4 linked regions of the Coturnix japonica genome follow. The protein of the gene in region 1 interacts with the protein of each later gene in a pairwise test. Links are inferred from orthologs where the notes say so. Each region holds a gene or a part of one and is shown in the gene's direction. Other genes may lie near its edges.

Region 1 (7,474 bases):
CGGGCGTCTGTTCCAGAGCAGCCCACGCCAGCCGAGCTGCCTTACAGAGGAGCCTGGGATGTGCTGGTGCTGTGGGAGCGCCCGGCTGGCAGCGAGCAGCCCCGACATCCAGCACATCCGGAGCGTTTCGGAGCGTCTCCTTCCTCCAGGGGTCCTGGCGCGGCTCCGGCTCGTGCCCACGTCCTGCACTTCCCCCCCCCCATTCTCCCCATTTCCCCTCTCGGTGCCTTCGCTCTGTTGCTGTAGTTTCACACGCGGCACCGCCCGGCTCAGCCCGCACCGCTCTCACACGCAGCCGCCGCCGGCAGCGGGGCAGGAGCGGGCAGGAGGCTGCGGCCCCACGGCTGCACGTGCGGGATGTGGGTGCGCGGGGCCGGTGGGATGTTCCCGTCCCGTCCGCCCGGCGCTGCCCCACGTGCCGTTTCCTTCTGGCCCCGCTCCGCCCCGCGCAGCCGTGTCCGCTGCCGCCGTACCCACGTATATAAACTCGCTTTTCCTCTCTGACCGTTCTCCCTCTCGTTGTCTGACGCCCCGCGGCGCTGCCCTGTGCCCGTGGCTGCGTGTCCCCGTTGGCGGCGCCGTGTCCCGCTCGGTGCGGCGGAGCTGCCGCCCGTCGGTCGCAGCGCGTTGGACAAAGCTCAGATTGTTTTGTATGACTGCATCCTGGTGAGCAGCACAACTAATAAAGGCTGTTTTGTAACGGAGCAGCATGGCGCCTGCTGAGCAACGGGACGGGGAAACGGCCTGAATCCAGCACGGGGTGGGCTGGGGTCGGACAGTCCGTACCGGGGGGTGGCCGTGCCCGGCCCGGAGCTGCGGGATCCCATTGCTGGGAGGGGGGGGGGTGTCCCCGCAGCGCGGACCGGGCGGTGCCGGGCGCTGACCCGCATCGCTCCGCGCGGGGCCGCTGCTGCGCTCCGGGAACATCGGGGGGTGCGGCCCCTTTAAGAGGCGGCGGCGGTGGCGGGTCGCGCGGTGACGTCACGGCGCTGCCCGGAACTCAGCGGGTTTCCCGCACGGCTGTTCCCGGCAGTTGCCACCTCCCCCCGCGCCGCCCCCTGCCCAGCACCGCCCCGCGGCGGGAGGCGGCGCCATCCGGGAACAGCCGGCGCGGGGCAGCGCCCCCAAGCGGCGCCGTCGCGATCCGTGACGTCACCTCGGGACGGCCGCGCTGATTGGCTGTCGCGGCCCGTCCCTCCCGAGGCGGACGGAACGCCGCGCCGCCATTGGCTGCGCCCCGCGTGACGTGAAGGGGGGCGGGGCCGGGGCTGCGGGAGCCGCAGTCGGGAACCGGGAACCGACCGGAGCGCGACCGTCAGCGGCACCGGGAACCGCCGGCACGGCCGGAACCGACGGTGAGAGTGAGATGAGTTATGGGAAACCGGGGAACGGAGCGAGAGGGAACGGGACGGGACTGGGAGGGAGCGGGGGGAGCGGGGCCGGGCCTCGGGTGCGACGGGCCTCAGCACGGGACGATCGTGGAGGCCCCGAAGCTGCTGCACCGACAGAGCCCGGCACTGAGCCCCGAGCGCGGGGAGCTGAGAGCGGCGGGACCGACATGGCGGACACTGCGCCGGGTGCACGGTACAACGCCTGGGCTGGGAACATGGAGCTGAGCCCTGCGGTCCGGTGTGTGGCAGCGCCGCGCTGTGCCGGGCCGTGCTGTGCCGTGCTGTGCCGTGCTGTGCTGTGCCGTGCTGTGCCGTGCCGTGCTGTGCCGTGCTGTGCCGTGCTGTGCCGTGCTGTGCCGGGCTGTGCTGTGCCGTGCTGTGCACTTTGAGAGCCAGAGCACAGCGGGGCAGGTCGCTGCCGGGGCTGGGCTGTGCTGTGGGGGTGGCTGTTATCGCAGCGGAGCTGCACCGTGGGCACTGAGCCCCGTCCAGGTGGCTGCAGCGCTCTCAGGGTGTCTCAATGTTCTCCCTCTGCTCCCTCTTCCTGTTGGTGAAGCCCCTGTAAGTTGTGTCACAGGGGGATGCTCTCAGGTACATCCAGGCACACAGAGCCCATCGTGGGGCTGTTTCCCTCAATGGCAGCACTGCTCGATTGTGGCTGTTGGGGTACGTGGAGCTGTGGTGCCACTGCTGAGCTCAGGCTGTCGTGCTCTGCCCTTGCAGGGAAGCTAAAGAAAGATGAACTTTAACTCTGGGGCTACTTTTAGCCGCTCTGCTCTGAGCTCTGCACAGCTTGTTTACCTCAGCGCTTGCGTCATGCTGTGCTCAGCCCCGCTCACATCAGTTGCTCTTTGGCTCTTCTCCAGCAGTGAGAGATGAACCACGGAGGCAGCAAACCCATCAGCATTGTTAGGGCTCAGCCCTCAGGCTTTTAAACCTGCCCCGGGAGCTTCCCCACAGCAGGATGGGCTGCAGAGGGATCTGTGTTGGGTTTTGGGCTGGCGCTGTGGAAGGTTTCATAGAGCAGGTGGTCAGGGGGTCACAGAGCATTGGGCACCACTGGGAGGGGTGAGCTGCAGTGAAGGAGGAGAATCCTCTTCCTGTCTCCTTGCTGCTCCCAGACGTTCCCTCCCTTTCCTCATCCTCCTGTGACTGATGGGTTGGCAGCCGCCATCAGCCGCTGCAGCAGAGCTGTCCCACTTGGCGAGAGCCCATAGCGCAGCACATTGTGTGGATGCTGTTCACAGCCCTTTTCCTGTGGTGGCGTGGGGGGAGTTTGTAGGTCAGGAGCCCATTAAGCTGAGGGGCGTAAAAACTCAATGTGGTGTTTGTGTCTGTGCTGATATCCCTGGAGAAAAGGGCTGAAAGGACCCATGGACCAGCAAGCAGTGAGCGCAGCTCAAGGCAGCAACCATCCCCACGGGCTGCTTCGCTCCCACAGCACTGAGTCCTTTGTGGTGCCTCTTATTGTACTGTGCGTATGTTCTGCAGCCACTTCCTTCATCACTTTGTGTGCCTGCGCTGGGAGGAGATGCCTGCAGTGGGATGAGGCTGAGCAGGTTGTTTTGCTTTGTGCAAGTTCTGTTTTTCAGGGATGAACGTGGCTGAGCACTTTGCAGGGCAGCTGCTGCTCCCTGGGCTGCACACAGGGTGGTGTGCAGGGACTTCTCCTTCAGTGCTGTACGGGTTTGGGTTCAAACACGGCCCAGTGAGACCCAGAGCAGAGCTTTGCTTATGGGAGACCTGCTTGGATCAGGGCAGTGCAGGGCGGGAGCTGCGGATGTCGGTGGTTTGTGGATTCTCAGCTCTTGGCTGTGTGTTTCTTGCTTCATTTCCCCCCCATCATGTTTCACACTGTGCTGGCAGCCTCTATAGCACTCAGCTAAAAGCAGTGTGAGCACCTGGGAGCGCTCCCTGTGCTGTGCCTGGTGAGCAGCCATGGGGTACAGCAAAGGGCCCGGCCTGTCGTGGTGTGAAAAGAGAAGTCCTGGGGTCACACACGTGTCAAACAGAGCCGAGTCTTCCCTCCAGTCTGACAGAATGTCTGTCTCCTTACAGGCTCCTGTTTCTCCTCCTCCCTTTCACCTATTGCTCTGTTAAATCCAGGCTTTGCTCACATGATCTTCTCTAGAGATTGCACCAGGCTGTGGTTCAAGGTTAATGTCCTCTGGATGCTGCTGTCAGCTGGGCTGCGCAATGCCACAAAGCTCTAAAAAGCAGCTTAACTCCTTGTCGGGTGCCAATCAATGTGTGTCATCTCCCCACGTCTCATGGTGGGGCTGATTCCCCTTTTTCTCCTCTAAGAACTATCCACAGAAATAGAGGAGGGGTCGCATACAACAAACACCAGCTGCTCTGGGGGGGACCCGGGGCACAGAGCTGTGGCCCCCACATCTCCCCCCCAGTCAGTGCCCATCTCCAGTGCCTCTGGGACAGCTCTGGTGTCAGCCATGTGCCAGCCCTGTGCCTCCTGCTGACGTGTCACTTGCTGGGGTTGCCTGCAAAAATCAAACCACTTTCTGGGGGAAGTGAGCCCGTGGTGAGGCTCAGTGGTGCTGCTGTGTCTGTGCTTCCTGCACAGCTTGCTGTCGCTCCTTCGGCTGACTCTGACTCCTATTGATGTGCGAGCCGCTCACTTGAAAATTGCTCCTTCCTCGTTTCTGTTGCTTCCTGGCAGTCTCCGCCTTCCGCACTTACTGTAAGCGCTGCAGCTCCTTCCCTGCCCTCGGGAGCAGGCGCAGGGCTGACTGCGGGGCTGCGGAAGGGGCTGGCAGCAGATCAAAGCCCCGGCCCCGCTGCTGTGACCTGCATGCCCGAGCCTTTCACTCTTCCCCCGGGCACGAAGGTAGGAAAGCTCTGGGAAATGGTGCCTCTCTAGGAGGAAGTTTATCCGAAGGCAGGTGCTTGGGAAAGGTTTTTTTTCCAAGGAAACCGAGCGAGGCTTTGTGCCTGTCTGTGTCTGTGACCATTCTGGGGGTTCTTATGGCTGAGGTCCTGCTTAGGAATGGGAGAGGCTGGAGCTGGGCAGCCAGACACACTGCTCTGCTCTCAGATGTTTTGGATTAACTTTGAAGGGAGGATGAGTCAGGATCCGGGTGTTCCTCAGCTCCAGCTGGGGCAGCGCAGTGGATCTTGCCCTGGTTTTGGGTACATTTCCAGCCTGGAGCCCTGAGCAGTTGCATGCTGACCAATCTGCTGCCCACACCGACTCGTGCCCATTAGTCCCTCAGTGGCAGTGTGCTTTGGGTCTGTGGTTCCACCTCCTCTCAGCACAGGTGACAGTGATGGCAGCAGTGCTGAGCTGGGAGCTGACAGCTGCTTGTTGTGGGAGGGTTTCCTCACTGTAGCTCGGCTGGGAGCTGGAGGTCAGCGTTGTCCCGGGGCTCATGGCAGGGCAGAGCTTCCTGCCTCTGGATTGTTAATGCAGGAGAACTGGAGCTGGCTGTTGGCTGCGTGCTGAGCATCAGGTGGTGAGGGCAGGTGGGCAGGCAGCCCTCTCGCTGCTGGATCAGTGCAGAGCTCAGCCCCGTGGGCACAGCCCAGCGCACTGCAGCCTTGTAGCCCTTCCCTGTTTCCCTTCCCAGGGTCAGCCTGAGCCAAGCCGTGTGCTGTGCAGGGGGGCAGCCTGTGGGCTCAGGGGCGCTGTGCTGACCTGCCTGTCCCTGCAGGGTTCCGGAGCCGGCCAGGATGGCGCAGTGGAACCAGCTGCAGCAGCTCGACACGAGGTACCTGGAGCAGCTCCACCAGCTTTACAGCGACAGCTTCCCCATGGAGCTGCGGCAGTTCCTGGCCCCGTGGATTGAGAGCCAGGACTGGTAAGGCACTGCCCAGCTCTGGCACATGACTGCACTTGGGACCCCCAGCTGGGGACAGCGGCAGGTGCCAGGCGGCTCTGGAGGGACTCTGCCAGCTTCTCTGGGTGCTGGGTCTATTCTTCCTCCTTGCGTTGCATGCAGTGTGAAATGGAGTGGGAGTCTGTGTGTTTGGTGTCAGACCTCAGACTGGGAGAAAGGGGAAATCCACAGCAGAGGTGTCAGGGTTTACGTCAAGCTCTGTTCTAAACAAGGTTGGAATTGAGGTGCTTGTGCCTGCTGTCTTCCAGCATCTGAAACACCTCTGTCTCCCTGCTCTCATGGGAGCAAGGCCAACTGTGGCTGCATCCTGATGTAGGTTAGGCAGTCACTGGGATGCTGGGCTGTGTGTGGGGCAGCAGGTGTTCACAGAGCTGCCCTTCCTGCAGCACTGTGCTGTGCCTCCCCTGGGCTGGGTGTAAGGGCTCTGCTGTCTCCTCATGCAGGGCATATGCTGCCAACAAGGAGTCACACGCCACGCTGGTGTTCCACAACCTGCTGGGGGAGATTGACCAGCAGTACAGCCGCTTCCTGCAGGAATCCAATGTCCTGTACCAGCACAACCTGCGGCGCATCAAGCAGTTCCTGCAGGTGAGGTGGGAGGCAACATTCTGTTACTGAAGTGCAGTGGCCTCCTTGTCACAGCTCACAGATCCAGCCCTACAGCACACAGAGATCCCAGCAGTTATAGTTTGAAGGCTAACCCTGAGGCCTTCGATGTTTTATAGAGCAGATATTTGGAGAAGCCGATGGAAATAGCCCGCATCGTGGCTCGCTGCCTGTGGGAAGAGTCACGGCTCCTCCAGACAGCTGCCACTGCAGCCCAGGTAGGTGACTCAGGTGTCCCTCTGCCCACCCAGCAGCTCTGCAGAGCTTGGTGCCATCAGGAAGCTCTGGTCTGAAGCTTCTTACATGTTTCTTTCAGCAATGGTAGTTCAGAGGGGTGCTCAAACTGCAGTGAAGGGCAGATGACCCCCAGCTCTCTGGGGTGCATCAGTGCTCTGCGCTAAGTTTGTTTGTTTGTGTAGTAAAGGGTTTGACTTTATGCAGAACTTCCTGAGTTACAGCCCAGTTCTGATGCCCTCCTTTGTCCCTTCTACAGCAAGGGGGACAGGCGACACATCCAACAGCAGCTGTAGTGACAGAAAAGCAACAGATGCTGGAGCAGCATCTGCAGGATGTAAGGAAGAGAGTTCAGGTAAGTGCTGCCTGGGCACCTTCTTCCCCTGGTACTTCTAGGAGTGCTGTGGGGATGTTGTACTTTGAACAAATCCCATCTCTTGCATTGCAGGATCTGGAGCAGAAGATGAAAGTGGTGGAGAATCTCCAGGATGACTTTGATTTTAACTACAAGACTTTGAAAAGCCAAGGAGGTATTAAAGCTCATTAGCATCTGGCAAGCCAAAGTGTGTTCCTGCAAGGAAACATGCCGGAGGGTGTGTTCCAGCCCTCCCAGTGCCTCCTACCCAAGCTTGAAGGGTGGGTTAGTGTTAGGGCATTTGCATGGCAATTGGAGATAGTGACAGAAACAAAAAGAAGCTGACAGGGCCTGCAGGGGATCCAAACCTGAGCTTTGCCTGTGGAAGGAGAACTGCATGAGAAGGTGATAATGCTGCTGTGTATGCAGAAATGCCAGAAAGGTGCTTGGAGGCAGAGCTGTCAAAGGCTGAGATCACTGCTTAACTACTGATGGCTTCCTAGAATGTCTGCTCATTTGTAGTCAGCTTTGTGGTCTTTGTGATGTTTGGGAGGGTAGGAGGAGTGCATTTGTTTGGCTGAAGCTTTGTGTCCTCTTTGCACAGATATGCAGGATCTTAATGGAAACAATCAGTCAGTGACACGTCAGAAAATGCAGCAACTGGAACAGATGCTCACGGCACTGGACCAGATGCGAAGGGTATGTCACGCTACTGGCCTTCCAGATCCCTCCAGGGTATAGGTGTGCTCTTATTCTGGGATATGGATTTGATAGTCATACATGGGTATAATTAGAAGAGCAGCGCTGGCAATAAATCAGCGGGCAGCTCCACTTCTTGTGATCATGAAACTTATGGGACATGGAGGGAGTCAGAATGCTGAAGGTCCTGCTTTCTCGTTTGGCAGGGTATTGTGAGTGAGCTGGCAGGACTGCTGTCAGCCATGGAGTATGTGCAGAAGATGCTGGCAGATGAGGAGCTGGCAGACTGGAAGAGACGGCAGCAAATTGCCTGCATTGGTGGCCCTCCAAATATC
Region 2 (7,461 bases), on another chromosome or scaffold:
AGATAGATGATCTTTGAGATCCCTTCCAACCAAAGCCATTCTATGGCAATAAATGGGCTTTGAATACAGGTTAAATGTGATCTGTGGAAACATAAAGGCATTGTCAGAAACACGTGATGGAAGGAGGGAGAACCAAGGCCATGTTAACCAAAAGGAGAAATCGATATAAAAGCTTTTACTTGACATTTATCTCAGAGTTTTTTCCTAGTTGTCTGTTACGTATTTGGCCTTCAGCACTCGAGACGCAGAGGAAGAAGTCTGCAGCTCTTTGAGACATGACTACAGCAAACATGCATTAGAAATTCTCATTTGTTTCCAGCACCAGAGGGAGAATACTAGTCAGTCGGGGTCTCAGCTGACGCAAATAACCAGAACAAGCATGATGTGAGCAGCCTGACAGGGAGGGCTGGGGAGGAGATCTTGTCCCACATGGGCAGGCTCCCGGGTGCAAGGAGAACAGATTCTGCCAAAGCTACTGCTATGTTTTCATCCCCGTCCCTTGGGGTAGCCATGCAGCTCACACATGATTCAACAAGTTAAACAAGGGAGAGCCCCATAAAATCCTAACAAGGAGTTTGCCTTGGATTTTGGGTAGTGATGTGTGGAACCAAGGGTTATACTCAATGATCCTTGTGAGTCCATTCCAACTTGGGGAATCCTTATGGCTCCTATGAAAATGGAGGCTGAAGGGTTGTTGATCACACATCAGCATCTTCATCAAGCAGCACTATGTTGCATTAAATTAGCTTTTAATCTGCCAGGGAAACGGAAGCTGGAAGGTTCAGATGATAAACTAGGCTAAATTAGTCATTTGGAGTGGTAGGTCCTTGAGATCTTTCTTACAGAGCCATTGAGGTGGTGGAGTCACTGCCCCTGGGGTTATTCAAGAACCATGGAGGTGAGGGACAGACATGGTAAGTGGGCAACTTACCCTGGAGGCAACAGATGAAGGGCTGACCTGCAGGTAACAGCCAGTATCACATCCAGGTTATTTTAGGGAGCAATAGATTTACCTCTTCTGCTTATTTAAATTTCTCTCTCTGAGCTGCTTTAAATGTGTCCATGACTGGAGAGGTCTGCACAGCGTCCTGGCTGTGGCTGCTGGGTTTCCCCATTGCCAGAATTGGAAATGTGTCTCAAATCAGAAGCAGGTTTCTGTCTGGAGCTGCTGTGCTGCAGCCCTGTTTCCCAAGATGACTTGGCAGCCTTATTTCTAAACCTTTGCTGCACCTCATGGCAGCTTCTCCTTCCTACCTCTGTGGTGGATGGCAAACCACCTTCTAAAAAAGCAACTTCCTTTTTTGTAGGAATAGGAAGTGAAGCTTGCTTAGCAAAGAGCAGTCAGGTACCTCAGATGAGCTCTCTGCCAAAGAGTAAAGCTCTTCCCAAAAGCTCAAAGTGCTCCTGCTAGCCCTGATGCTGACATCCAGCCCCAACCTAGTCCCCTCTGCCTCTATGTCCTCTCCTCTGCCCTTAGCTGGAGGAGAGTGGGGACAGCAGAATGCAAGCTGGTGAGGGAGAAGTCTGCCAGATCTGCAAGGGCTTCCTCATTTCTGCATCTCCTCAGTATGCAAACAGCCAGCCTGGCTCTGCACACACCTGGCTGGGGGCAGCTGGGTGGGTGTCTGCCCTGGTTGTCTGCAGAGAGAACCCGCGCTGACCTTGGCCTCTGCCAGCTATCTGTTAATGGCCCCAGAGAAGATAAAGTACTCACAGATTCCTACTTAAGGCTCAGCCTAAGGTCCTGCAGACTTGCAGCCCTCCATTGGGTGTTCTCCTTTTGCCAGGAGCACAGATCACTTGCAGAGGCAATGCCCATGAGCAGCACTGGGGCAATGGGCACCTGCATCCTGGACCAACTTCCCCATGTGGTCATATGATTCCATGCTTCTACATGCACAGCACTGAGCCCTCAGCCAGCCCTGTCCTGTCCCTGGATCTTACAGCCATTCAGGGTCCTCTGCTTTGATCTCAAAACTGCCCCGTGAAGCCTTTCCTCTGCCAACAACATCACCAGAATGAGGGTGACTTTGGGGCTGTGCACTGCACTGAGCGGATGTCAGCTTACGTTTGTCTTCCCTGTCAGAGCGGCTGAACTACAAAGCATGAGGTCTCTCCAACCTCAAGAACACTGAGACCCAGCATCCCTTCCCTCCTGCTGACCCAAATGCTACAAAACCACAGCATGCAACAACCCACTGAGGTCACTCAGTGTTTTTTTTCTGGGGTGGGGGGGGGACTTTGTCCTTGCAACAGCTTAAAGACAACAAACGGTGGCCCAATAAGTCCGCTCCACAAACACATTGAAAATACCCCAGAGAAAGAATCCCTCTAGGCACCCTATGGGAAGCCTCAGGAGTCAGTGGGAACAAATTTTGTTCCTTATACAACAGTTGTCTCCTGAGAAACAGACAAATTTCAGCCTTCCTATTGAGCGTGCTGAGGCAGAATGAGAAAGTCACTTCTTCAGAGTCACCCACAAGTCCCTGTCCAGGTCTACGTCATTAGACTGTGTTGCCCCCTCAATGCTATGGTTGAGTAGGTTCATAGAGGGTTGGGGCTCCCTGGAACAAAAGGCATTTCATCTGAAAAAGGTCTTTTATATTTTTATTATTTTTTTCGTTCTGTTTTTAATCACTGCAAAGTCCGTTTGTTCAGCTGTTTCCTAAAGTTTGGTGGTTTGCATAGTGGAAACACAACCCATTCACCATCATCGTAGCTTGTTTTAATGACAGCTGTTAATAGCCTGCGGGTTTTGCTGGGTTTTGTGCCTGGGTTCTCTCTGAGTTTCTCGCCTTCCTCAGTGCTATTTTGTCCAGATTGTCTGGGAAGTGCAACTTGCCCCCCCTCCCGGATGGATCATGCCAGTATTTAAAATAGAGCAAGGAATCCTCTGAGGGAAGAAAGGAGTCAGTTCTGACACGGAGACGTGATTAAAAAAAGAAAGTCCATTAAACGCGATCACAAAATCAGGCTGCTCCTTGCATACCTGGGGGTGCAACATTCAGAGCTCTCAGCCCTATGGATGGTGGGGACGTGGTGTGAGCCAGGGATTTCTAGCAGGGAAGCTTTCTGAAGGCTCTCAGCCCCATGGAGCATCGGTCATGGGTCGGACCAGTGCTTCGTCCATCGGGTCGGGTCTCCAGGAGCAGCTTCATAGGAAACAGGCAAGTAGGGCTCATCTCATCCCTCTGAACGTTTCCCTGAGGTTAGTAGAGGCTTTCTTCTACCTTCTTCCTCTTTCCTATTCCTTTTTCATTTGATATCTCCTTGCCATGTTTCCTTCCCCCTCGATCCATAGGACAGAGAGAGAAGATGGGAGCAGCACCAAAGGTTGCTATAATCCAGCCCCAAGGGGTGGTTTTCAGGGAGGCATTTCCCTTGGTTTGCAGCTAAAAGAGAGAAATGAGTGCCAGGTGTGTGTACCTTGGTCCTCCCATCCCCCTGCTTCCCCATCCCCCAGGGCCTGCGGTGGAAGAGATCGAAGTGTAAATGTGGGGGAGGCTGGCTGGAGCTGGACACTGCTGTGATCAGCAGGGGAAGGGTTTTGAGCTCAGGAGCTGTTTCTGACTTGGCTTTCCAAGCAATCAGAGGTGTTCAGAAGAAGGGCTGGAGATGTAGTTTCCCATAGCCCATGAACAAGCTTTGGATGGAAATGCCAACAGAAATTGTCATGCAGCAATGCAGCTTTGTGATAACATCCCTCATACATGGTAAGCCCCAGAGACATTCCTGGCACCCTAAGAGTTCTGTGTGCTTCTCCTGGCCCTGTCCTCCTTCCTTTCTCCGACACACCTCCATCTCCATGCTGCAGGATGTCAGCTCCTGTAGATCCATCCCCACCTGGCCATCACAACATGGGGGCTGAGCTCATGATGAAAGCATCTTGAAAGGGCGCTCACGGAATCATGAAGGTTGGAAAAGACCACTGAGATCATGAAGCATGATGCTGACCTACCACCACCATGCCCATTGACCATGTTTTTCAGTGCCACATCCCCATGGTTATGGAGCAGCTCCAGGGATGGTGACCCCACCACCTCCCTGGGCAGCTGTGCCACTGCATCACCACTATTTCAGGAATGTTTCCTAACATCCAACCTGAACTGTTTGAGATTTACCAATAGGAAACTTCCAGGCCTTCTGTGATTTTGTGTAGATGCAACACGTAACATAGGCATCTACTTCACTCTCCAACAAAGGCCATGATGCTCCCAGCTCTGTGCTCTCCAGCTCTACTTTCTACATTCCTTTTCTAACTCCTCTATGCACGCTCTGGTCTCTCCTAGTGAGTAGCAGCTTTTGGTCATAGGGGTGATCATGACTTTAGCTGGGGACGCAGCACTGTGTGCACCACCTTCTTTCTGAGGCAGACCTTCTGCGGGACTGAAGCTGTTTATAGCACAGCACAGTTCTTGTTGTTCAGTTTTGACTTCTAACCACCTCCTAGCAACAGACCCGCTAATCACACACACTTAAACATAGCATTAAAAACATATTTACCAAACCCCAGCAAAACTGGAAAGCAGTCACAGTAGTGATGGCTTTGATGGCTTCTTTGTTCCCATTTGTGTGGCTGATCTACTCAAGCTCTTCTGTAATTCTTTGGTGCTGTGTCTTGCAAAGCAATCCAAGGTTGCCTAGTTTGGAAATGTGATGAACTGTTTTGTTCAGAGAGAAGAAAGCTTCTGTAGTATTTAATGCATGTGGGACATGCGTAGATCTGGGGGGGGCAATTTCAACTGATCTTTTTTCTCCTCACTTATGCAAAACTGTGAATCTGGCATAACTAAATCACTGTATCTGAAGTGAGATGATTTCATTCATCCTTTCTGGTAGGAGAAAGAGAACTTCAGCACTGAAGACCCTTCATTTTTAGAATATGCTCTTATAGCTTTTTTGTTGTTTGTTTCTTTGTTTTTAATGCTATTATTTCCTTTTAAGTGCATTTTCTTAAGAAAGACTCTCTGATATTTTAAAACAAAGTGAAATATTTAATCTTGGTCACCTATGAAAACACTCTGTTGGACCCCCTCTGAAGTCTGAACGTAAAGGGGCTCATTTTGTGATCTCACCATTCTTAGGGGTTTTTGGAGCTGCCCCCAAAGTAAAACACTATTGGCTTGCTCAGGCCATAAGTTATTTTTCCATGGCACAGTTTCATGGGGGTGAGGCAAATAAAGAGCTGAGACTTCTGCTTTTCTGCAAGATTCGGTCTTGTTGTTTCCCCATGCACGCCCATGCAATCCCAAGGCTGTTCATCTGTATTATCCACATCCCCACTGCAGAAGACATTACTGCATTCACATCAGAAGCAACATTTGTTTGGGTAGCAGAAAGAAGCCAAGTGCAGGAGATGGCATGCCTATGATGCAGGATTGCTTATCATAATGAGGATAGGAAAATTAGGTCATGCTTGCCGCACCTGGCTTAGCACAGGTACCTCTGTCCTATTCTTATCTGCTACAACAGATACAGAGTGTGTGCATACAGCAGGTCCATTCTGTCACTATCTTGTTTTCTTGATACCGTAAGGCACTGAGAAGGCTGAGGATTGAGATAAGGCAGATCTCCAAAGCTTGTGATCAGCAAAGACTTGTGTTCACCTCTGCTGGACTCTTTAATGGGGCTTCAGGCACAGCTTTATGGTTTGTTCCAGTAGGACATGTTCTCCAAACCCTTTCCAAGATGGGCACTGATAGGGCCTTCAGTCACATCCTTGATTCTCCACCACAGATCTGTCACCCAGATGTCAATGGAAGCTTTGCTTGAGCTGAGCTCTGATGAGATCTTCAGAACTCCCCCTTGGACCATTGTTTCAGGAACATCTGTACCTGCATCCAGCTCTCTTGAGCCAAAATGTCCCCTCTAAAGACCATTAAAATTACCTTCTGTCTGATCCAAGCATCCAACATGTATGTGATGTGCATGTGTGTTGTGCATTTGTTCAGAGATGGATGCTGCACAGAGCTCACCGTCCCGTGTCTTTCAGTTTGCTCAGCAAGGGCTCACTTGACTCTCTCAAAATATACCAGCAACTGAGCTGGACATCTGTAACATTTTGCATTGCATCAAATACTTTTATTCGGTTTTGAATTCTGGTTGCTTTAAAAAGATGTTCTTAAAATAAATAATGGTCTCGATTTTGAACTTGAGTAGACTTGAGGAAATGAGTGAAAAAAAGAGTGAACGCGAGAACGTTTTGGTTGAGTATTAGCAATGCGATGAATAATTTTGTTCTCTGTACTCAATGACTGTTAGAAAGAAGAAAGATTTCCTCTCATTCAGTTATTAAAAATCATAGAGTCACAAAATAGTTTGTGTCGGGAAGGACCTTTAATGTCATCCAGTTCCAACCCCATGCTGTAGGCAGGGACACCTCTCTCTAAACCAGGTTGCTCACAGCCCCATAGACAAACATTTTTAGATGGGTGAAGAGGAAGTTTTCATGTTTCTCTGACTTACTATTTTCTCTTCAGCACTCTTTTCCTCCAGGAAAAAACAAACCAACAAAACAACCAAACCAAACAAAACAACAACAAAAAAGAGCAAATAAAATGCCAGGGCAATTAATTACTTTTAGTTATTTTTCTCAATCTTTCTCTCTTTTTTTGTATGCAATGTTGATTTAAAAAGAAATTAACCATAAGCAGTAATGCTTTGAACAGTGTGTGTTCCCATCAGCCACCTTCTTTCGAGGGTCAAAAAGAAATTAAACAAATGAAAGCTTCACCAGCAGTGTGCTGGGAGATGACAAGCAGCGTTCTGTTTTGGCCACTGTTTGTTTGCGGCATTACTTGATGATACATCTAGGACCTTCAGATGTGAAGGATCGTCTCATTGGATACCAGAGGCCTTGGCAGTGTGAACGTTGGGTTTTGTAGGGGTTATGATTACCCAGAGCTGTGCAAATCTCTGTGTGCAGTGCAGGAAAAGACGTGGGTGGGAGCGGATGACCTTTACCGGAGATTTCTCACCAGTTCTATTTCCCGCCTGAGATGGGACAAGTTGTTTGCTTCTTGGTCTGGTTTTGCACAGACGTGTCCTTGACACTTGTATGTATGTGAGGAGAAAGCTCTGTGGTGGGACACTGTCCTGCCTGCAGCAGAGGGGTTGGAACTTGATGATCCTTGAGGTCCCTTTCAACCCAAGTCATTCAGTGACACCCAGATGTCCCAAGGATGCTCCACTGGACACAGAAACACTTTGTGGACACAGAGCTCAGAGCATGGTCCCTGCTCTCCTCAGTCCTTGTCAGTATAGATAGGATGGCTACAAAGCCCTTTGTCATCTGATGGCACTTGCTGTAGTTGACATCTCTCCATGCTTTCCCTTGACACTGCTCCACCAGTGCCATCCCTGGGAGTGACTCAAGACCCTAAAATGTGCATTCTCCATCCTGCATATTGTTCATTGATCCTCTCATGAAACAGTCCCAGTGACATGACTGATGGCTGAACT
Region 3 (7,588 bases), on another chromosome or scaffold:
TGCTGCATATGTGATGTGGAGCTACAGCTTCCAGGGGATTTTTCTGAGGGGGAAGATGAGGAAGGATGCTTTTTAGAGAGTCATTCAAAATAGCGGGAGGTAACCTAGCACAGCTTTGCCCGTAAAACTGCCTGTAGGAAGCAGTCCTAGAGCAAACCATGCCCAGGTTTCACCCTCAGGAATTGGTGATCCCAGAACTGAGCACATGGATGTGCCCTGTTTCCAATCCTGGGACCAGGATATGACGGTATGCTGTGGGGCCACACTGTTTGACCATATAAAAGCAGGGGCTGGTTTTGTTGGATTGGTAATCACTTACCAATGAAGCTAAAGAGGATGATGATGTAGTGTGTTAGGAGGAAGTAACTTACAAGCATGCACAAACCTTTACCTGAGCTGTGCAGCCTGGGTTTTTAAGAGCTGGGAGTGCTTGATCCCCTCCATTACCTGTGCTGTGGGCCTTGCAGAGCTCATTGCAACAGTTGTCCCCATCCAGTATTGAGGTGGTTTCACAGAAAATTTCCTTCTGGTTTCTTGAATGCCATGCTGCAATATGGTCTGGAAGTCCCCTTCCAGCTCAGGCTATAAGCATTTTGTGAGGAAGGATAAACCAGAGATGGTTGAAAGCTGGACAGGAAAAAAAATCTCTCTTGGTTTGAGGTTATGTTATCATCGTTAAAGTGTTACTCTCAGCACCAGGACCCAGAAATGAGGGAAAACCTCATGGTTATGGTTAGGAAGGGTGTTGAAAACAGTGAAAATGTGTTTTAACAGAAAAGCACTGAAGAGGTTTCTTGATCTGCTTCAACTTTGGACAGTGGGTCAGCTGTTTTCTCGTGTCAAGAACAGGCCTTGTCCATGGGAAAACCCAGGACAGCATTTCTGGAGTGTCTTGGCTCAGTGCTGGCTCTGAATTAGACAGCAACAAGGAGACAGGCAGCAGTGATTAATCTGCATGTTTAATTGGCAGCGAGGGCAGAAGCTGAGGTTTTGATTTGAAAACCGATACATTGCGTCTCATTGTAGCAGCGATCTGAGATATGAACATAAGCGCATCTCACTATTTGCTGCCCCGTTCAAGACTGGTTTCAGGACAAATGTTGCTAATATTGGCCACTAGTTGGCATTATTGATACATCGCAGTGAACAAGAGGAGGGGTGATGAGAACCTGGAGGCCTTTGCTTATGGAGCTGAGCCATCCACCCCATACACAGGCCTCTTGGCTCTGCAGCTCCAGGGGTTTTGCAGGGTTACTGCTCAGCCAGAGCTGGCTGAAGCTGCCTGGTGAGCACCTTCATAGCTCCTTCCCTGCTGACCTTCTCCTCCCAGCTCGTGGCTGTCCATACAGGCTCTGCCAGCTCTCCTGGCAGGAGAAGAGGTGATGAGCCCTTCTGGTTGCTACCCTGCCTGGCAGGAATTTCCTTAGGCTGAAGACATCTGCTGGAGCTTTGGTCACCAGAGATGTTACGTGGTGGTTGAGCCAAGAGAAACGTTCGAGGTCTGCAGTATTAATAATTACAATTTGTAAATGTAGCAATAATTTGCCAGTAACTCGCATGGAGCGCTTTGAGAGGTTGTCGGGAGCCGGCTCATCTTGTGCAACATTGGGTGTGTGTATTTTTGAAAGAGTCTTTTGTTAACAGAGTTTGGTGGATTTAGACTTGTCTTAATCTGCTTTGATGGGGAGCAGAGATTTATGTCAGGAGACCTGATAAATGAGACATTGCTGATGAAACGCGTGAGATCTAAGGTGTCGGAGCGTTACCTGAAGTGGATTTAGCGTGGTACAGTGGGAGCAGATCAATAATTCAGCCTTCAGTACTTGCAGCTTTGAAATAGAACAGAAATTCCACAGCATCAAGGTAAAAAGCTTGTTACGTTGTTTCATAGGATACTTTTGTTTATGTGTAGAGGCTAATCCTCAATTAAGTCAGATCCAAAATGATGACGGAATAGCAGCGATAAGGGAGTTGCTCACTCTGCCTGTATGTGTTTTAAGGACCTTGCGTGACCCAGCAGAATTAAGAGGAGGGAAGTCCACTTCTGGTTTGACATCCACTTTTACCCTTGGCATTTCTAAGGGAATTACAGACCACTGTGACACTAAATCTAGGTGTTTTTTTTCCATCTGTATACTTCTCTGATTCACATTATTGTTAGTTAAAAGATGAGCTGGAGACCCTTCTGACCAGACTAAAAACCATTTGCTTCCCATCTACGGAGCAGTGATGTGCAAATTAGGATAGATCAGTCAGATTTGTTAACAGAAAGCTTCATTATGGATCCTCCCATCAGTGTGTAAAGTGTGTCCTAGAGGTCAGGGATCTTTAAGAGCAGAGTTTTTGCAGTGGGACATTGTAGATGCTGCCAAGTGAAACCCTTTCCTCACTCAACAGGGGACAAAACGTTTGAATAATACAAAGCAATTCCCTCCTGCCTCCTCACAGCTGATTAATATAATTTCACATTGCACCTGCCCCATGTTTTTTTTTTTTTTTTTAGCACAATTAAAACACATATAATAACCTAAATTACAGACCTCCAATTTGCATAATATACTTCAGAAATACAGTGGTGTTTTACTGCATATTTTCGGGGCAGCCGCAGCGCTAACAACATCCTAATCACAACCTGCTGCGGACAAACACGGGTTCGTGCGACGGTGAGCACGGGAACAGCTGAGGCAGCAGAAACACCTTTTGGAGAGGCAGAAATGGGACAGGTGTGCCCTGCGAATACAGTTAACCGACCGGTGCGGTTGATGTTAAAAGCGAGTGCGAGATTGCGCTTGTGCTTAGTACAGGCACCACGCAGCTTCACCTCCGCGCTCTGCTGCGCTCCGCCTCCACCGCAGCACGAAAACAAGGCGGCTTTCGTGCCTGCTCCCCGCTGGGCAGCCGCTGCGGGGTGACTCTGCCTGGCTGCGTGCCCCAGCCCCGTCCCGGGCGCGGCCGCGTCCCGCCTCCCCCCGCCGCCCTTACGGGAAGCGCGGCTCCGCCCGTGCCCGGGTCCGCCTCTGCCGTCGGGGCGGAGCCGCTATAAGCTCGGCGCTGTTGCCGCCGCCCGTCAGACCCCGTGTCCGCGTCGCTCGCTCAGCCCTGGACGTTCCCGTCTCCTCGCCGCCGCTCGCCGTTCTCCGCCGCCCGCCGCCCCGCGGCACCGCCATGATCGTGGACAGCAGCCGGGACGCAGCGCCCGACGGCGACGGCGGGGCGCTCAGCAGCCCCATCAACCTCGCCTACTTCTACGGCGCCTCGCCCCACTCCAGCGAGGGCAGCTGCTCGCCGGCTCACTCCGCCCCGGGCTCGCCGGGCTCCGACTCGGACCTCTCGGTGAGCAGCCGCGGCGGCGGCCGGAGGGACGGCCGGGGAGGCGCCCGCCCCGCGCTGCAAGGTACGGCGGGGCCGGGGCTGCGGGGAGGGGACGTGGAGGCGGCCGCGGTTCCGCGCTCGGGTTCTTTCCCGACCTTTCGTCTGCGGGCGCTGGGCCGGTGAAGCTGGAGGAGACTCTCGGCTGCGACTTCGGGTGGCTTCCCACGGGCTCGTCTGCTTTCGTGAATGCCGCTCTTCGAAAGGGCTGACAATAGCAGGATACGGGGAAATGATTTTAAGTTGAAAGAGGGAAGATTTAGGTTGGATGTTAGGGGGAAGTTCTTCACTAGGAGAGTGGTTAGGTCCTGGAACAGGCTGCCCAGGGAGGTTGTGGATGCCCCGTCCTTGGAGGTGTTCAAGGCCAGGTTGGACGGGGCCCTGGGCAACCTGATCTAGTAAAGGTGTATGTTTGGTGGCCCTGCCAGGCAGGGGGGTTGGAACTACATGATCCTTGAGGTGCCTTCCAACCCGGGTCATTCTGTGATTCTGTGAATGCCGACCCCGCGGCTTAAGCTCCGTCTTCCTTGTGCTCTCTCGACAGCAGAGCAGCACATGGGGGGAGGAAAACAGCACAGAGGGCCGTTCCAGGGGGTCCGCGTGAAGAACTCGGTGAAGGAGCTCCTGCTGCACTTCAGGAGCAGTAAGCAGATGTCCTCGGGCCCCGCTGCGGACGAAAACAAGGTAATGAGCGTTTGTCAGGGCTGATACGATGGGGTTTAACCAGAACTGAGGTTGGTGAAGGAAGACACACGATAAAGCAGTTGTCGCATTTCTGGTGTTATCTGTTATGGATGGAGTTATGATTCTTCCTTTTCAATGCATGCTGTGGAAGGACTGAGCTGGGAGGAGATGGGTGCGACAGCTCCTGCGGGGTGGGGGGGCACCTCAGACAGAGAAACAGAGAAAATGGGAAGCCTTATTTACGTTAAAGAGAGAAGCAAAATCTTGAGACCTCACTGGGGAAATGTTGTCTTCCTCTACGTTTTCATGAGTTCTGTGGTGTTGTAACAAATAGCTTATTAAAAAAGCCTTCATTAAAAAAAACACACTTGGTATTCATTTAAATTGCATAAAACTCTTTATGTTTCCTAACCTCAATTGAAAACAATTAAATTAGGGTTTGACTGCCCTGTGCTAGGATTATTCTAAGACACATTCAGTGCTTATAGAAGCAAAGCTCTGCTTTTGTTTGTTTTGTTTTCTTTGGAATAGCACGATAACGATCAAATAACCTGTTTTTGTTGGTTGTTTTTCTTTCCACCCCCCCCCCCCCCTCAAAAGGCACAAGGAGGACTGGTGAACTACGAACCCTACACAGGTAAGAAAAAACAAACACCTGAACGTTTCTAAATACCCTGCAATAGTATTTTAAGAATAGATTGTAAGAGCAGTCTCTAAGAGGGTTTTAAATGCGTTTATTTATTGAGATATTTATTTATTTTAGCAGAGTTGAAGAGCATTCTAGGCCAGGGTGGCAAAAGAAAGGCTTCTGAGCTCCTTTCTGATGGACCTCCTTTCAAACGCCAAGTTAATATTCACCCACACCTCCTGGTAAGCTTGAAGTAGAATTCTCTTCTTTTCTCTGCCTGTTTTTCTGTAACCAGAAATGATGTCTTAAAACAAGACTTCTGACTCTGTGGGGCTTGTTTTGCTTCTTCTTCTGACAGACACCTCCCCAGACCCCGACCTCAATGGATAACGTGGAAGAAACGCATAAAAATGAACCAAAGCATGACAGCAGTTCTGATCTGCTTCAGAACATCATAAACATTAAGAACGAGTCCAGCCCTGTTTCCCTGAATACAGTGCAGGTTAGCTGGTTGCATGGTGTCTCCAGCCACAACTCACCTGGCGAGCAATACCACGACAGTCCTGGAACGCAGGCTTTTTCCCCACCCCAGAAGTACCAAGCATTCCAAGATCACACCTCTCAGAATATGCTCGATCCGCCTCAGCATTACCAGTTTCCTTCCTCGCAGAGCCAGGATTTGTCACAGAACTACACTTCGGATGCATCTCTGGAGTACAGGCCGTTTTCTGCCAGTGACCAGTCTCCAGGCTACCACCAGCATGCCTACGAGAGCCATGAACTGCAATATTGCCCGTCGCAAAGTTTCTCCTCCCTCCTGAATGACTCTGAAGGCTCAGAGAACATCTCTGCTCCCCTCCAGTCCTTGACCAGCGCCCACCCACAGGCTAACGTCAGCCCTCATGCTCAGAACTTCAGCCTGGCTCCCAGTAATGTCTGCGGTGGTCTTGAACGCAGTGTCTCTTTGGCCACTTTGAATGTCTCTCTACCACCCCAAAGTGTTGCCAGAAACACAACGCAGCTGGGCAAGTCGTTTTTCCAGTGGCAAGTGGAGCAGGAGGAAAACAAATTGGCTAACATCTCTCAAGACCAGTTCCTCGCGAAAGACTCGGATGGAGACACGTGAGTAGCCCTTATCTCACTGTTTCTGAAGTAAAAGGTTGGAGAACACTTCTGTTCAGGTTTTGGTGGACCACTGAGTTTTAGTGGAAGCTGTTTGTTACTGTTGCTTGTGTCACGAGTGCAGTGGTTTCACCAGTTGTGGTCTTGCTGATGGGCTGTGATGCACGCAGTTGCAGCATAGTAAGTAGATAAGATAGTTGTATCATCTCATTTCAGGTATTTATTAGATTATTATCTGGTAAATTGAGAGGAAAAAAGATTCTACTTTAGATGCTTTAAGTTGCCTTGGGAGGAAGGTGCCTGAGTATCCATCTTAGTCACTCAGATGAAGTCTGAAGCTGACAGTGTAAAGCCCTTCCCACAATGTACGTTTGGAATCGCTTGATGACTTGAGCCCTAGTCAGTGTGGTTATCTAATTGTTTTCCCTCTTTCCGCAGCTTCCTTCACATTGCTGTTGCCCAGGGCCGACGAGCTCTCTCCTACGTCCTTGCAAGGAAAATGGCTGCTCTGCATATGTTGGATATTAAAGAGCACAATGGCCAGGTGAGGTTTTCAAACTCTTCCCACCCGCTTTGTGCACCTGAGTGCTCTGATGTCTGGACCCCGAGGAAAATGTGGTGAAACACTTATTTAATATTAACACCGAGATTTAGTCTGCATACTAATATTAACCTTGAGCTATTAATACTTCTTGGGATCACCTTGAGCTGGTAACACTATACACTCGACTTTTGTCCTGGCTTCCTGGTATTCATAATCACTGCTTAAATAACACCGGGTAGTTAGGCTTTTTTATTTGTTTTAGTTGCTCTTTCCTGTTAGAGATCAGATGACTAATAGTTGAAATTTTCTTCTCAATGTTTGCAGAGCGCTTTCCAGGTTGCTGTGGCTGCCAACCAGCATCTCATTGTGCAGGATTTGGTTAGCCTGGGGGCTCAAGTCAACACCACAGACTGCTGGGGTAGAACACCGTTGCATGTTTGTGCTGAGAAGGGGCATGCCCAGGTCCTTCAGGTGAGAATGAGGCAGACATAGCTCTGCCCTATCCATAGTTCTTAACTTGGGATTAGCAGTTTGGGAGGGCTACAAAAATACTGTGCCTCTTCTTATCTTTCTTCTGCGCTGCATTTTGATATGTCTTAGACTCTACGTTAACGGTTTTAAGTGAGGTTGACTCTTGCTGTAAGATTCCCACCAGTGAGTGATTAGGTAGTGTAGTATATGCAAACAATAAATAAGTCTTTAATACTATTCCTGACTGCAACTTTGTTGCAGGCAAGACTGTATACAAGCTTGAGGAATCAGTATGTGGTTTGGGGTAGACCTAAATGCATATCTGTTCCCACATTTGTAGGCGATCCAAAAGGGAGCCATGGGAAGCAATCAATATGTGGACCTTGAGGCAACAAACTATGATGGTGAGTAGTTTGGGGTTTATAGCTACGGCTTACTGGGTGATACAGGGTTTTATAGCTGCTGTTGTAAATGTTATCCTGGGAGAAGAGCAATAAAATGGATTGTATCTTTGCCAGGTTCAAATTCACAATTAGAATTGAAATTGCGTTGCAGTTGGCATATCCGTCAGATAAAAGCTTGGCTAGCCTCTGCCTGTTGAGATCTTTCCCTGTTCTCTCTTATGTATGATTGACGTGTTTGGCATGGAAAGGATAGATGATAATAGGCTATTGTTTAAAATGTGAGTGCCAGTGGCTTATTGGTGGATATAAAATGCAGTATCTCTAGTGCCAGAGAGCTGTTTTAACTGAACCTATTTTCCATGCAAT
Region 4 (7,516 bases), on another chromosome or scaffold:
TTCCAACAAGCTTGTTTCCCCAACCAACTTTGCCAGCTTCTTCTCCACACTTGTTCTGTCTCAACTGCTGTTCCTTTCCCTCTTAGTTATTTAGCTGCTCACTTTTCTCTGCTGAAGATAAAAGATACCAAGAGGGAAAGAGCAGCAGCAGTGGCTGAGCTCAAGTACCCTGAGCTTTGCATGCTGCATTAAAGCTTACCATTAGAGAATACCTTTCATTGACCACAACATCCTAATCGCCTCTCATGAGAAGGTAATAGAAAAAAAGTGCTAGAGCATGTTACTCTGACCTCCAGTATATTCTCACCCTTTTTGCTTCTTTATTGCTGAATCCAGTTCTGATAATTTCTCAAAACAGCCTTTCTTCTGAGAAAAAATGTGGTTTCTAAGACTTCAAAAATCTACTGAGAGAACAAATTTTTTTTGTATTTGTGACTTCATTGTAGAAGGCAAAGTAAATGCAATAGCACAAGCCTTATGGGGAGCAGCTGAGGGAATTGGGATTGTTCAGTCTGGAGAAGAGGATGCTCAGGGGAGACCTTGTTGCTCCCTACAGCTCCCTGAAAGGAGGTTATGGTGAGGTAGGAGTCAGACTCTTCTCCCAGGTAACAGCAATAGATTGAGAGACAATGACCCCAAGTTGCACCAGGGAAGTTTCAGATTGGATTTAAGACAAAAATTCTGCTCAGCAAGAGTGGTGACAGGCTGCCCAGAGAGGTGGTGGAGTCACTGTCCCTGGAGGTATTCAAGACCAGCATGGATGTGGCACTGAGGAACATGATTAGTGGACATGATGTGATGGACTGATGGTTGTACTGGATGATCTTTGTGGTGTTTTCCAGCTTTAATGATTCTATGATTCTATGCACAAGCACAACTCTTTTTAACACAAAGCAGCAAATTTTAAGCATGAAAATATAATCAGATATCCACAAATCCTTCACACCTCTTCAAACCATACAGAACAAATGTCTGTGTCTAATCCCATACAGATTTTTCTTCCAGAGATGTGAGATTTCACAGTTGAAAGAAATGAGCTCCGTCCATGAAAGAGGGAGGACACCACACTTCACAGTTCTCTCAACAGGCAGACACTTGCACAGAGCACAGACCACTCTGTAGTCTTTCTTCCCAAAAGCATTCCCCCTTAAGCATGACAGAGTGCTCGGTGCAAGCAAGTTGTAGCTCAGCACAAGAGTCTTCTCACAGAGGAGGGGCAGCTTGGGCAGGGAAAAGGCAGAGCAACATGTTTTATTCCTGCAGCAATAATCTTGTTTAAAAATATATTGAATGTTTTATTTGGCACAGTTTCAGTTATTGTGATTTCTCTTCCACAAGTAGTAAGAGAGGGGCATCGCGCAGTGGATACAGACAGGAAGTCGTTTAGCTGTCAAGACTTTCTTTTAGAGTTTAAAATTGTTTCCTACCTCAGATTGTAATGAAAAGTCAGAAGCTGGAAATATATATATATTTTTTTAAGTACAGCCAAGGCACTCTGGTAAGGAAGTGACTTGCACATATTGCATACTGCTTTTAAATAAATGATCTAAAATTCCATCTAACTCACCTATTTTTTTCTGGCCTAAAATATCTTCGTGAGCTCCATGAACTGCAGTGGGTTGGAGCTCAAGATTAGATGCTTTCCCAGTATAAGGAAATGAGATGGCATGAAGTTAAGAAAAGTAGTTCTTACTGTAGAAATGACAAGGTTTTTATGCCTTCTAACCAACCTAATATTTTCATTGCAAAGACAGCTTCCCTAAGCTACTCTGTCTGAACTAGTATGAAGCTTGTCACTAGTGACTTCTACAGTCAGAGCAAATACCTCCCCTGAACACAGCAAAAATACCTAAAGTGAGGGGGAAAATTCATTCTCTTCTCCAATGCAATTTTAATCTACCCCAGCCTTGTCACTCCTTCTGATGTCACATGTCAAATTGATCTTATTCTGACCCACCAGGAGGACTAATATGCATTGCCTATCCAAAAGGGAATTGATAGTAGGTGTTTGTAGGCATTCTGTCCACCCGCACAGAAGGCAGCCAGAGGTGTGAAGGCATGTCTCATAAAGCTCCACTTTTCCTCTTCAGACTGTTCCTAGTAGATAATTGCTGATTTCTGGGCTCAGTTAGGTTTCAGTGGATACATCATGTGGGTATGATAAGCATCATGCAAATATTCTCTTTCTGCTGTGTTCTCTGTGGTGAACAAGGGTGCACATAAAGTGCACAGCCTAGTAGAACACTTTTCTTTGGAGCTCCAGAGCACACTTGGCAAAGGATATTTGGTCTTTATACTTCGGTAAGATAACCTGAAACCATACTAAGTTTATAGAAAGGTTGCATCCTTCCTGGTATTTGCTACTTTATGATAATCAAGGTTAAGAAAAACACATTTATGCATGTACTTACATGTGGTGCAAGAAGATTTTTACTTACTGATCTTTTCTACCTTTCACCATTCCATAAATGTGCATTTGTTACAGTTGAAAGAAAGAAATGGAAAATTTCCAGCTCAGGGAACAAACTTGTCAGCACTAGGTCTGTTTTTCTAGTCTGTACATAGAAGGGCTTTCTTTGTTGTTGTTGTTCTCTTTGCTGCTGTAATGACTTCCATAATATGCTGCAGATGTAATACATTTGTGCATAGACTGTGCTCTTTGCCAGATAGTGTGCATGGCTTTAGAAGAAGAGATGCTCAGACAGTGAAGTAACAGAAGTGCCTTATTTAGAAATACAGTATATATTTATCTTCATTTTCCTATAATGCGATTCTTTCCCCTGAAGAATAAGTTAATCAAACTCATTTGTTTATGCAGTGTTAAATACATGCATTGTAACCATGTATTACTATAGATTTCAAAACACATATAGAAGACAATGACTCAATATATTCTTTATTACTTCTTCTACAGTTGGTGCTGTCATATTTATCAATAGTGATAATAAAAATTCCTACAATGTTCTTTTAGGGAAATAAAATGGAGAAAAAGATCATTCTAGAAGAAGTTCTTTTAAAGAAGTCACAACAGAAGAGAAAAATGTCACCAGCTAATTACAAGAAAAGGTTGTTTGTTCTGACAAAAAACAGCCTTTCTTATTACGAATACAGCAAAGAGGTAAAAACTCATTTTCTTAAGTAAACTATTCAAAGATATTCCAACCATCACCTGATTCTTCTAGTGCAAAACTTGATTAGAAGCGATGCATTAGAAAAGCAGGTGTACTCTGTTTTGAGTAAAACTGGAAAATTAGAGGGTTACAAATTCTTTTTTCAGTTCAAGAAATCACTTGGCTGCATGCTTAAGAGCGTCTCTATTCAGAACAACTTAGAGCTATGTTTGCCATTGAGCATCTGTTTGCATCCTTTGCAAGACAACAAAACTTAAGCAAGTAATTAACTGTGGCATATGTTTACATATTGTCTTGAATAGGGATGAATAGGGATGTTTTCCTCATTCAGGCCTCCCTCTGAAGTGATGTAAATAAGTGGCTTCAGAAATTACTTGTGTGAGGCATAATTAGTTCCCAATCTTATCCCTCATTCGTATAAAGCAGATGGTTAAGCTATCGATTTCTAGAGACTGACTGTGCATCACATGAGGGTAGATTTCACTCAGAAAGTCTCCTGTTGGGAATGCAAATATATTACCCTGGCAACTTATTTCAAAGTTTTCTCTCTTTTTGTGTCCCTCTGGTGAGTTATGTTTCATTAGGATCCTGCATGGAAACCCACTGAGAATATGCTCCTGCACCTTAGCAAAAAATACAGATGCCACAGCTAGGCTTCTGGTTTGCAGTTCAAGTGTCTTCCACTTAATTCCTCCTTCTTCTTTCTCCTTTCAATTCCCTTCTTCAGCTGTACTCTTACAACTGCAGCAGATGTTTTCTCAGATGTAGGGCTGTGTCCTGTAATTTGTAATTGACTTTAAAAGCAATTTTGATTGGTATATAAATGTGGTTGGGGCACCAAAATTGTTTTTTGTTACTATTAAAATTTAACAACCTTGAAGCTATGGAAGCTGGAGACATGAAATTACACAGAACAGTAAATCTAGAATGCTCCATACTGAGTTAACATTAGGTTACAATCTGCTTTATTTTCTCTTAGAAAAGAGGAAGGAAGAAGGGGTCTATCGAGATTGAGAAAATCCGATGTGTTGAGATGGTGAATGTTGAGGAATCAACACCTCCTGCAAGACAATATCCTTTTCAGGTTTGTCATGAAATTTGTTTCATGTTCGTTTCATGTGAAATGTTCAAATCATCCTAGGATTTCACTGATCACTCCTGCCCCAGTTGCCAATACCTGCTATGGCTGGTTGCCATACATACTCCCTAAAAATAGAAAATCTGTCCTTATTACTCAGGTCGTGACCTTGTTAAAATGTTTTTACTTGGTTGGGATAAAATTTGGGTCTAGAATTTTTTCTCTTTTGTTCAAATTTCTATCATATTTGATTTAATACATAGATCAATACACTTATGTGGTTATGAAATTTTTAAGGCATAATTAGGGACTTAAAAAATCTCATTTTAACTCTCACTATTGCCTCTCCCATCTTTTTGCCCAGTGTCAAGTTGAGGTTTTGACCCAAGACTGCCTGATTACTATTCTTAGGCCTCAGTCTGTAAATTCAAAGCTATGCTTTGTGCATGTACCAGAAAATATAGCTGCACAAAGCACTGTTCAGGAATTAAATAAGGAAACCGTAACTTCAGATTTGTTGCTTTTTATCTCTTTCCCCAGCATGTTCTCCCCAGAGCCTTCATCTGTATCAGTTTTCTGAGCACAGACAGGCCGTAGTTCCCCTTGGAGTACCACCTGGAGCAGCACAGCCACCAGCAGCAGGCTGCTTGATAGTGTGTTAATCAATGACTCTGCAAAAATTGCCATGGCCAAAGGCATCCTCTTGAGAAATGCTCAGGTTTTCACTTCCTACTTGCTCCTAACCGTCATTCCTTTCTTCCTTTCCCTTCTGTCTCACCACTTTTATGGCAGGGAATGGTGCACTTGTCTTGAATTATTGTGTTTATCTCAGGAATTCACAACTCAGAGAAGTGGGAAGAATACACACTGCAGTCACAGGATGGGGTCTCCATTGTGGGAAACTGGATCTCTGAAAAGGGGGTTAGGATTCTGATAGCTGATTTTCACCAGTTCCAGTGTGATGCTGTGGGCAAAGGAGCTAATGGCATCTTTAGACATTGACAGAGGCACACATTGAATAAAAGCAAGCAGGCTGTACTGCCTCTGTTTTGACAGTACTGTGAACTGCAGGAGAATACTGAGTCTAGTTCTGGTGGCTCTAATTTAAGAAAGATGTTGCAAACTGATGGGAGGTCAGAGGGGAGGCTTCAAAGTGTCTAGTGGATTGGATAACATGCCTTAAAGAGAAAAGCTCACAGAGCTCCACCATTTAACTAAAGAGCCAGAAAATGGATTGATCAGCCTGGTATGTTTACGAGACAGAGTACACATTTAATGACAAGTGCTCTTCAGTGTACAAACAAAGCAATAAAGCAATACTTGAAATGCATTGCAGATGACTGAAAAGCAATGTACACAAGGGAAAGGAAGCCCTGGACTTAACACACACACTCACACACACACAACCTATACTAAGTATCACCCAAACAGCAAAGCAGATGCTATTAATTATTAGGTAGGAATGAAATGAAGCTGGCAGAAAGTATGTTGAACACAAGAAAAATAAGCTGATTGTTCATATTGTATAGCTAATTTATTGGGTTACTTGCTGTGGGAAGTTGTAGATACTAGTTACTTGCTTTCAAAGACAGCTGAACTAACATATCCAAGGCAACAGAGTATGAATGCATCACCTTTAGATCAGAATTCCCTGATCCAAAACTGCCCCAAGCTTTTATTCTGCCTCAGTATTTGTTTCTGAGTACTTGGAGACAGGCACTGGCCTGTCTAACAGCAGCCAGAAGCTGGAAGAGGAGTCTGGAAAAACTGAAGTGGAAAAATGAGTTTCTTTGTGAATTGTAAGGTCTTTTGTATATAGAAGACAGGTCTATCTATAAATATTCTATGCTGCCCCTTTTGTCTTCAGTGGTTCTTTTGGATATGATCCACAGTGGTTAAGGTGGTATACGCAAGGCTTATGTGATGACAGTACCATATACAACCTCCAAGAAACATTAGTAAGTTGTAGAAGTTTGATATCAGAGAATCTTCAAAGCCTAATTTTGGTTGCCAAGTTTTGGCATAAAGATATTGGGTCTCACATTCTCACCATGCTGGCAACCTCTTCCAGATTGTGTACAAAGATGGCCTGCTCTATGTCTATGCACCTGATGAAGAGAGACGGAACAAATGGCTCGCAGCTTTGCATAGAGGTAACACTAGCCCTTTGTGTGCCAGAGTATGCAAATAACCAAATAACTTCAGGGGAGATAGGAAAGTACTCTGCTCTATCATTTTATGCAACTCATTCTCACCTGTTCAAGTCTTACTTGAAATCTGGGTAGTTGAAATGCACTGGTATTTTCAAGTATGTTTTCATCATATGTTCCAACCAATGAAAGTTAATAGGGTTTTGATATACCAAAGTAAAATCTTTTGAAATAAAATTTGTGACGAGTAAGATTGTGTGATAGGTTTGCAATGATTATGCCTTTCAATAAGTGTCTTAAAGTACTGGTCACCAAAGGTGTCTGATACTTTCTGTCCTCTATTACATGTTCAAAAAATTTAGGGTTAAAAATGGGTCAGCTCAAGATATTTGGAACCCTGTCCAGAAGCAATCAGTTTTTAAAGTCTCACTCAGCTCATCCTACATTTCTTTTAGCTGTCTTCTGAAGCAAAAAATGCTGTTATGACTTGCAGAACTAATATACCACTAGCACAAAAATTGCACCAGGGCTAGTTCTGTAGAGTAAAGCAATGCTTGGATTATAAACTAAATGTTTCTTTGTTAGCATTTCCCTTTGGCATGCTTAAATGTTAGATATATTTTAGCAGATAAACAGATTGGATTTGCTGTTTCAGGTATTGAGTATCTGATACTGAGTTTCACAGATTGTTGTTTTCTTAAAATAGATAGTTCTATGAAAATATTCAGTATATTTTGATATAAAAATGTTGCATTATTTTTATTATTGATTGTGAGATTTTTGTAAGATACATGATTTGGAATCACAGCTGTTGGATCCTACTTCGTCTATTGATTATTTCATGGAACTTCACTGTCTTTCTTGACACCCAAATGTCAAAAGAAGAGGTAGAAATATATCATAGAGGACAAAACAGTATGGAGAATGAAATGTGAGGATGTGTGTCTAGAGCTAAGAGTCAGTAAGCACTGAGGTCCCACAGTTGAGTGCAGCTGCTTCTATTAAAAAAAATGAAGATTTCACTGTTGCAGATTTTCATGTTTTCTTTCTTGTTTTTTTTTTCTTTTATGTTTTCCAGAAATTAAAGAAAACACCAATTTACTAAGCAAATACCATAAAAGATTCTTCACCAATGGGAGGTTTCTCTGTTGCAATCA

What was found. The genes of interacting proteins can lie anywhere in the genome.
Region 2: the proteins of STAT3 (region 1) and BLK interact in binary tests that used the Homo sapiens proteins (3 or more experiments, as listed by UniProt). The link is inferred for Coturnix japonica from reciprocal best matches to the Homo sapiens genes STAT3 and BLK.
Region 3: the proteins of STAT3 (region 1) and NFKBIZ interact in a two-hybrid assay, tested with the Homo sapiens proteins (2 studies listed by BioGRID and IntAct). The link is inferred for Coturnix japonica from reciprocal best matches to the Homo sapiens genes STAT3 and NFKBIZ.
Region 4: the proteins of STAT3 (region 1) and BMX interact in binary tests that used the Homo sapiens proteins (3 or more experiments, as listed by UniProt). The link is inferred for Coturnix japonica from reciprocal best matches to the Homo sapiens genes STAT3 and BMX.

What each region holds. Positions count from the first base shown.
Region 1 is NC_029542.1:4,516,315-4,523,788, reverse strand, and holds the start of STAT3 (signal transducer and activator of transcription 3), read left to right. Parts: upstream 1-1,227; 5' UTR 1,228-1,355; intron 1,356-5,059; 5' UTR 5,060-5,078; coding exon 5,079-5,206; intron 5,207-5,688; coding exon 5,689-5,833; intron 5,834-5,970; coding exon 5,971-6,069; intron 6,070-6,344; coding exon 6,345-6,440; intron 6,441-6,533; coding exon 6,534-6,615; intron 6,616-7,044; coding exon 7,045-7,139; intron 7,140-7,345; coding exon 7,346-7,474. UniProt on the Homo sapiens protein: Signal transducer and transcription activator that mediates cellular responses to interleukins, KITLG/SCF, LEP and other growth factors. Once activated, recruits coactivators, such as NCOA1 or MED1, to the promoter region of the target gene.
Region 2 is NC_029518.1:97,832,364-97,839,824, forward strand, and holds the start of BLK (tyrosine-protein kinase Blk), read left to right. Parts: upstream 1-2,925; 5' UTR 2,926-3,090; coding exon 3,091-3,167; intron 3,168-7,461. UniProt on the Homo sapiens protein: Non-receptor tyrosine kinase involved in B-lymphocyte development, differentiation and signaling. B-cell receptor (BCR) signaling requires a tight regulation of several protein tyrosine kinases and phosphatases, and associated coreceptors.
Region 3 is NC_029516.1:76,524,545-76,532,132, forward strand, and holds the start of NFKBIZ (NF-kappa-B inhibitor zeta), read left to right. Parts: upstream 1-3,052; 5' UTR 3,053-3,165; coding exon 3,166-3,394; intron 3,395-3,913; coding exon 3,914-4,053; intron 4,054-4,653; coding exon 4,654-4,690; intron 4,691-4,816; coding exon 4,817-4,923; intron 4,924-5,039; coding exon 5,040-5,803; intron 5,804-6,241; coding exon 6,242-6,347; intron 6,348-6,671; coding exon 6,672-6,818; intron 6,819-7,158; coding exon 7,159-7,222; intron 7,223-7,588. UniProt on the Homo sapiens protein: Involved in regulation of NF-kappa-B transcription factor complexes. Inhibits NF-kappa-B activity without affecting its nuclear translocation upon stimulation.
Region 4 is NC_029516.1:109,893,847-109,901,362, reverse strand, and holds the start of BMX (cytoplasmic tyrosine-protein kinase BMX), read left to right. Parts: upstream 1-2,980; coding exon 2,981-3,118; intron 3,119-4,110; coding exon 4,111-4,215; intron 4,216-6,280; coding exon 6,281-6,362; intron 6,363-7,437; coding exon 7,438-7,516. UniProt on the Homo sapiens protein: Non-receptor tyrosine kinase that plays central but diverse modulatory roles in various signaling processes involved in the regulation of actin reorganization, cell migration, cell proliferation and survival, cell adhesion, and apoptosis.